Kluyveromyces lactis: one gene and its partner. The protein of the gene in region 1 purifies or fractionates together with the protein of each later gene. This does not show direct contact. Links are inferred from orthologs where the notes say so. Each region holds a gene or a part of one and is shown on either strand. Other genes may lie near its edges.

Region 1 (3,918 bases):
TAGCAATTTTGTTCACATCCGAAAACAAGCACATCTGAGTTAGAAACCATGAGAAAAGTAAGCAAAGTACTGGATTTCTGCCAAATATTGAGATACCAGGCAAAATGTTATCCTTTGAGATTGCTTCCAACACATAAGCAGCACCTACCATACCCACTATGACGGAGAATAGAGAAGTGGAAAGTTCACCGACCAGAATGATGCTTTGGAAACCGGACACGGTCTGTATAATTTGCACGTCTTTATGCAAGGATTTTTTTGGGACTGAACAGCCTAAGGATATAATGACAAGCGAATAACACACGAAGGTTAACAGAAGGCCCCAAAGGGTTCCCTTAGGTATGGATTTGGAAGGCTTACGCAATTCACTGGACATACCGGCGCCAGCAAATATTCCTGCCGTAGCTGGAAAAAAAATCCCGAATAGATCATTGAACGTTTCGTAACCCTTCAACACCGAGCCTGCTGCACCCTTTGTAAACTTCGGATATAGATTTTGTTTGAGTATCTGTAAAGACGGTCCTGTGTACACGATTCCATTAAGTTCGAAAGGCTTCACAAATAAAACAGAGATAGGAATCGAGATTGTAGAAGCCAATAGCAACCAGAATAGAACGTTACCAGCACGCGAGACAGTCTGTGAACCAATCATAGCCACCGCCAGACATAACAGAAGCAAAACCGTAGAGTATCCAAATTGGTACCAATGCCCTTCTGGAAGTACTTGAGTTAGCACACCTTCCGAGATACCAAAATTGTATAACAACGGTTCCACGATACCAACTATGTTCATACCACTATTCAAAATTTGGCCAATGAAAAAGATAAGACCAATAGAACCTCCAAATTCAGGACCTAGGCATCGTGAAATCATGTAATATGCACCACCACCTCTCACTGTACCGTTGGTCGATATAGCTGAAATGCTCAATGTGGTTGATACATCAATGATAAAAGATAAGATTAACAATAGAAATGTTCCCAAAATACCCATCTGTCCTATTATGAAACCAAATCTCAAGAACATTAAAATTGAGAGCACATTTAACGTAGTGGGTATAAATACTCCATCGAATGTTCCCAATTTATTTCTATGGGGATTCTCTAGATCATATTTTGAAGATTGTTCTTGTTGTAACGGTGTGTCTTGATATTTGAAATACGTTAAACTCGACCTTCTCTTAAGCAACGGTGAGCGCTCTGATTGTGACGGAAGGTGCGAACCCGGTAGTTCATAGAACTTAGACATCAGTGTGGTGACAGTGCACTACTGTCGTTACCTTTGCCATTGAAAACACTGCTAATCTGAATATTTTTATCGCTTCGTTATTTATCTTTGCTTGATTTGACGAATTCCTTTAAGGGTCTATCATTTTTGAAAGATTTTTGAAATTTCACCATAGAGCAAGAAGAGATTTGAAATGCAGAGAGATTGATGGATATGGTTCGATCATGTTTGAAGCATTCAGGCATGCTCAGAACTACCATCTAACAGGTGAAAATCAACGAAAACGATGACTACAAGATACCAGAGGGTTTTGGAGATAAATGCCAAAGAGAAAATATCTCTGGCGATCGTTAAGTTCCCTCCTTTTAAGCTACGTGCGGCGATGGTTGAGAAAGATCCGGTGATATGGCTCCATTTGCTGGAAGTTTATGTGCAACATATGAGTTATTTATTACATGGTGACAACTTAGACTTTCTCAGTGATGAGACCATTGATCATCTATGCATTTTCGTTAAGGCTTATGTGCATGAAATGAGTGAAGAAGAAGGAAAACTTCTTTCTTTGGGAATTAATGCAGATGTTTTGAAGCAATTAGAGCTTTTAAGAGCTTACGTTTTACAGTTGATTAAAAGCTGTGGGCTACTATACTTGAAGTTGAATACAGAGTCTCTATGGGACATAACACGGTCCTACGTCGAGGGAAATGCAACCACTGTCAGATCGTTGATCGAAGGATCTTTAAGACCGACCATTAATACTCAGAAAGCACAATTGGATAGGACGTACCAGATACAGCAACATATAAGATATTTGATAGAAGCCAATAAATTTAGTAGAGTGGATTTAAAGTCTCTGGAATTGCTTTTAGCTGCTGATGATAAGGCGAAGAGTTCATTTACAGATAATTTTGTGTCTGCCAAGTGGGTTGATACATTAGAGTCAATGTATGGCAAGGAACCAGGGAGTTATTTATCAGATTGGGGAAAGAAACTTGGAATATTAAGCTTTTTGTCCTGCAGCGTCACACATTTGGCTGATTTGTTAAAGCAAATGAGCATAACGAACTTACGAACACTTTCAATGTATCCACTTTTAGGGTCACTTCTAATTGATGCCAGGTTTCAGGAAAAGTTGCCACATATTAAAACTAAAATCCCCTTTTTGGATATACAAGAGGAACCGAAGGCAGCTCCCCATTTAAGCGGTCTGCTAATGCCTAGTGTCAATGTTGAACAAATAGACACAATCAAGGAACTATTTCCGGACCTTACTTCTAACCAGATAACAAAATTATTGCAGAGGTATGATAATAACACGGAAGTTATAATCAATAACTTGTTTGAAAATCCATCTGTGATATCTTCACTCGAAGATGGGCCACTGCAGGATGACGAAATACAGAATACGACCGAAAACCTGATGGAGGAACATAAGCCGAAGGAGAATTTATTGCCAGCCATCACTCCGAAGGACAAAATTGAAAAGAAAAACATGTTATTCCCTACAAACGACGTACCTGATGCTGTCAGAAACAAAACATTATCAAGAGCTTTATCCCTTCTATATGATGCCACAGAAGATGAAAGGGATGACACCTACGACGATGCAGAAGTTAAGCAAGCTTCTGCAGATCGTGTAAGCGTCGATACTTCTGACACAGCAAAGGTATCAACCATAACACCAGGCACATCTAAGTACGATAAAATTGAAGGATATCTATGGGAATTATTGAAAAGGGATAAAAATCTTTTCTCCCGTCAGCAACGGGGCTCGAAACAGCGGAAAGAAATGAAGAAAGAGACTAACTGGTCTGACGAACAAATTGAAGGTTGGTCAAGAATGATTGAGAAGAGTCCAAAGAGGGCACAACTGCTAGAAGAAAAGTATATTTTCAAAGGGAACGTTCGGCAAGGCAAGAAGACGTTTACAAAAGCACGAGAGGATAAAGAAGGTTTTGATCATCATGTAGTTGACAGCACCGTAAATTCACCTAACACTAACAGTAATAATGATTCTGGCAGAGAGAAAACACCTACTACCAAAGAACCTCTTACCAAAGAACAACAAAAGAGAAAAAATGCTCGTAACGAGAAACTAAAATCAAGTCGTGCTAATCATAATAGAAAAGCGGGACACGATAAAAAGTTAGCTAAAAGTGGTGTTTTATGATGAACATTAGACCAGTATAGATACATTTACGAAAATTGAAGTCGATTATCCTGTATCTTCCTATTTATCTGTAGATATTATGAAATGCATTTACTTTAAATATCATTCTTCGAAACTTTCCTTTTCTTGGATTCTAATTTATTCCAAAGATCCTCATTTTCAGCATCTTCATCAGCTTCGACGATGCTTCTTTTGGCTTCCTTCTTCTTCTTCATTTTCAATTGCTTTTCAGTTAAAGGTAATTCCAAGTCATTGTCTTCTAAGAGTATAATATCAGAAACCTTACCGCCTGTGAATATCTTTGCCAGGAGCTTATAATCGGCTAAATCAAAGATACGAACATACCTGTCCAAACCACCTTGAAGTAAGTATTTATCGGTAACAGCAATGCAAGATGCAAAACCAGTAATGTCGCCCTTGGCAATCTTTCTCAACAAGCGTCCCTTGCCGTTGAATTGGTACACATCTTTTCTGGAGTCTGCTGCTAAGAATTCAAGCTCGTCAAAGTTAGAACTTTGAA
Region 2 (3,690 bases), about 310 kb from region 1:
GCAGCAGAGCGTTTGAAGTACGAGCTTGCTGAAAAGGAAAAGGCTGCCAATCCAGAACTGAATCAAGAACAAGCGAAGTCGAGTTCCACGACGGAGTCACCGGAGTTGAAAAAATAGCGTAAGGTCATTCTCTCTGGCCTAGTATAAGTTTTGTAAATAGTTCAAATAAACCGAAATACACGCATCGCATGCTCATCGTATCATGTTCAGCACAATATCATCAGTGGTTGATGAAGCTGATTTATGTCTACAACTAATTAATACAAAAATTCTCTAGAAGATGGGAAAACTGTTCCATCATGAAGAAGGGCACAACGGAGAGTGAAAATCCAAACTCTCAGGCAGCCATTACGCAAAGCCCTCTGGATCACATGCAACACCTGGAAGAACAACTAGAGCGAGCTGTTAAACCGCTTCTAATCATCACTTTCCAGACCTCTTCATAATGGTTAAAAGAAAGAAGTGATGCAAAAAACCGGGAAAAGGAAGAGACTTCCCCTCCCAACTCAATGCGCTTCCAACTTTATTGATCTAAGAAACCGGAAACGAAATGGAAACTGTGGCCAGCTTGTTTGGGGCTAGTCAGGATCCATTCAGCTATGGGTTAAAAAATGGTAACAGTCACTCTTCTCCAGTATTAACTAAAGCCGTTCCTAGATCTCCGAAGAAACCTAGGAAAAACTTCTTGAGAAAAGAGATAACCGAAACCGTAGGTTTCTATGGTGTATATGTGTATTAATATTATCTTGAGATAGTACTAACCACTACTGATGATTGGTTTATTAAGAACAAACATCAAAAAGATTTTCCAATCTTTGAACTGTAAGAGTGTTTGAAAGAGGTTCAAAGTGTTGAAAAATTTGCCACTTTTATACTATTGATCGGAAAGATTACCCGGACATACGTCTCTACTATTATAATTGATTTAGGGTTTTACCAGGTAAGATATCGTTGACCAGACAAGCATGTTGCAGATATTTGGGGCCCTTCATGGTGTATATTGCCTAGTCGAGAATCAGTTTATATGAAATGTAAATCTGTTCATCCAAGTGGGATCTTTTGAGTCGAACTTATAAGCAATATACTGCTCATCTTGCCCATGCAGCTCGTCCTACTCACTGCACTGCTTAATAAGTGTCAATATCCAGGAACTTCGGTTACTTAGAGTAGTACCCAGCTTCTGGGCTGTGGCACCAGCAGTAACTATACCGTTTAGATTTATATATAGTTATAGAAAGGTTCGGGTATTAATGTCTGTCAGTCCAAGATAATGTGACGTTAACAACCATTTGACAGTAAAGCTTCCGAAGCTGCTACTTTCGATCCAAGTTCTCGAGTCTATGATTCTTCATGAGATCACCTGGACAGCCACCCAATTGTTACAATAGACCTCTTGTTGGCTGATCGGTTCCACCTTTTCTTTCATAACTTGAGAACTCTCATCTTTTAAAGTGAAAAAGTCTAATATTGAGAGATGAGCCTTAGCAACTGAGAAAGTAACTACTCGTATCCAAACAACACAGTAAAAGGATATACATAGCACTGGAATAATATTGCCAAAACAGTCACAATGACGAAAGAGGATGCTATTGAGTATGCTATAAAGGAATTGCCCAACATTTTGCCACTAGATACAGAACAGATCAAAGATCTATGTGAACAGACGATAAAAGAAGGCAACAACCCTGAACAGATAGCCCAATCCTTTTTTGATCTTTTAGGGCAAGACGACTCATCGGTACATTTCATATTTGAGTTCAATGAGAGGCTCATGGAATTGCCCCGTAAAACGGCTGTCAAGAAACCAATAGTGAACGAAACAACCAATACTAAAAAAGTGATATCTCCATTGATTAATACTGTGAAAACCAATGATTCCAGGGCCGAGTTCGCCAACAAGTCTATTCAAGCAACGAAACCGATATTGAATAGAGAATTAAAAAAGGTACCGACTGCCAAGGCTGTGAAAAAGGATTCGGGGAAAGAGAGTAAAGAAGTCAGATTAGATTCATTGAAGGATATCGATGATGTGTTAAAGATGTTGGAGATGAGGTCAGTCTCTGGGGATTCCGGTCAATATAAATGCAATTGCCAGGGAACAAGGCACCCAATATTCGATCCTGCACCAAACTGTCTGTCATGTGGCAAAATAATATGTGTCAAAGAAGGTTTGCATATGAACAATTGCAGCTTTTGCGGAGCTGAATTAATCCCAGCTAAGGAACGCGAACAAATCTTAGAATTGCTACGGTTAGAGAGAGAACAAATAGAGCTTCAGAAAGTTGAAGAGAACAAGCCCAAGCCGAAGCAAACCAAGAAATATAAGATTAAATCTGGTGCAGGCACAAATTTATGGCAAGAACAAGAGAAAATGCTACAAAGAGTGGAGAAAGATCGGGAACAAGAGAGAGAGATTAAACGACAACAAATATTGAATGGGGAGTCAAAGGAAGAAGAGGAGGATGAACAACTTATTGAAGCACGAAATCGACTCGACAAGCTACTTCATTTCCAGGATACCAGTGCTGAAAGAACCAAGATCATTGACAATGCTAGTGATTTCGCTATGAATGAAGATGTCATGTGGGGTTCTGCTTACGAAAGAGCATTACAACTAAAGAAACAGCAAAGAAATTTACGAAAATGGGAAAAGATTGAGAATGAACGCAATGGAAGGCGTGAAAAGGTCGTCTTGGACTTGACGATCGGTAAGGATGGTAAAGTTGTTATGACAGAAGCAGTTAGAAAGAGCAGCAAAAAAACGAATGCAACTAGTGATGATGAAATAGATGATATTAGCGATGAAGAAGATCTCCAAGACTTGGAAGATATCAAGAATTTGAAGTTAGAGATAAATCAACAAAAACAGAAGGAGAGTTCCAAGTTAACAAACAATGTTTGGGATTATAACAAGGCGCAGTCGGAGTTTAAGAAACCTGTATACATAGCAAACGCTGAGGAAGAAAAAGAATCTGCTCCTAAAAAGGTATCAAATGAAGTTCATCGTGTCCAAGTAGGTATTGATGATAGACCATCACTTCAAGATAGCATTTTGGCAATTTTGTGAAATTTGTCTGCCCGGACCGCCGATGTTTCCATAATCAATAAATAAATGTGTTGGAAAATTTATATATAGTTACATATCGAGCAAGCGTTACGGTTGGAACAATTCGACTATCATTCAATATCGAAAATTGGTAAGAACTGGCCCATTATTAACATTGGAATATTAAATGCATCTCTTTTAACTGTCCAAATACATGCACACCGTAGATAGCATCCATTCTTTAACAAAAGGTTACATTCGCTAAAAATAGCCTGACCATCAGAAGTTCCGGTCGATGAATTGAAGGGCCCACTTTGAGTTGAACCAAATGCCAAATACTCATGGAATATATCATAGTAATCTACTATGCTTTCATTGTCCATGAATTCCATGATAAACTTTCGTTTGTTTAAAATCTCCTTTTTGTTGAACCCGGTAAGGGATATAAATTCATTAGAAGCAAAGCATATCTCCCCTGACCTTCTCCATATACACATTGGGGTACAATTTACAAGTTTGGCCATGCTTTCATACTCTAACAATGCCCTTTGGAGAATAATTTCTTGTAATTTTAAATCTTGAGCAATTAAACTATTAGTTAGTGTAACGAATATTGGTGCATAATGTGTTTTAATAGAGTGGGC

The links.
Region 2: the proteins of CUE3 (region 1) and RQT4 purify together in Saccharomyces cerevisiae (affinity purification with mass spectrometry; 4 studies listed by BioGRID, with this or other methods). This does not show direct contact. The link is inferred for Kluyveromyces lactis from reciprocal best matches to the Saccharomyces cerevisiae genes CUE3 and RQT4.

The regions. Positions count from the first base shown.
Region 1 is NC_006042.1:973,205-977,122, forward strand, and holds CUE3 (Cue3p), read left to right. Parts: upstream 1-1,514; coding exon 1,515-3,398; downstream 3,399-3,918. Other genes in the region: VHC1 (Vhc1p), read right to left, coding at 1-1,249; ribosome biosynthesis protein NSA1, read right to left, coding at 3,494-3,918. UniProt on the Saccharomyces cerevisiae protein: Involved in activation of the ribosome quality control (RQC) pathway, a pathway that degrades nascent peptide chains during problematic translation.
Region 2 is NC_006042.1:1,284,581-1,288,270, forward strand, and holds RQT4 (Rqt4p), read left to right. Parts: upstream 1-1,570; coding exon 1,571-3,067; downstream 3,068-3,690. Other genes in the region: import motor complex subunit PAM16, read left to right, coding at 1-117; GSM1 (Gsm1p), read right to left, coding at 3,178-3,690.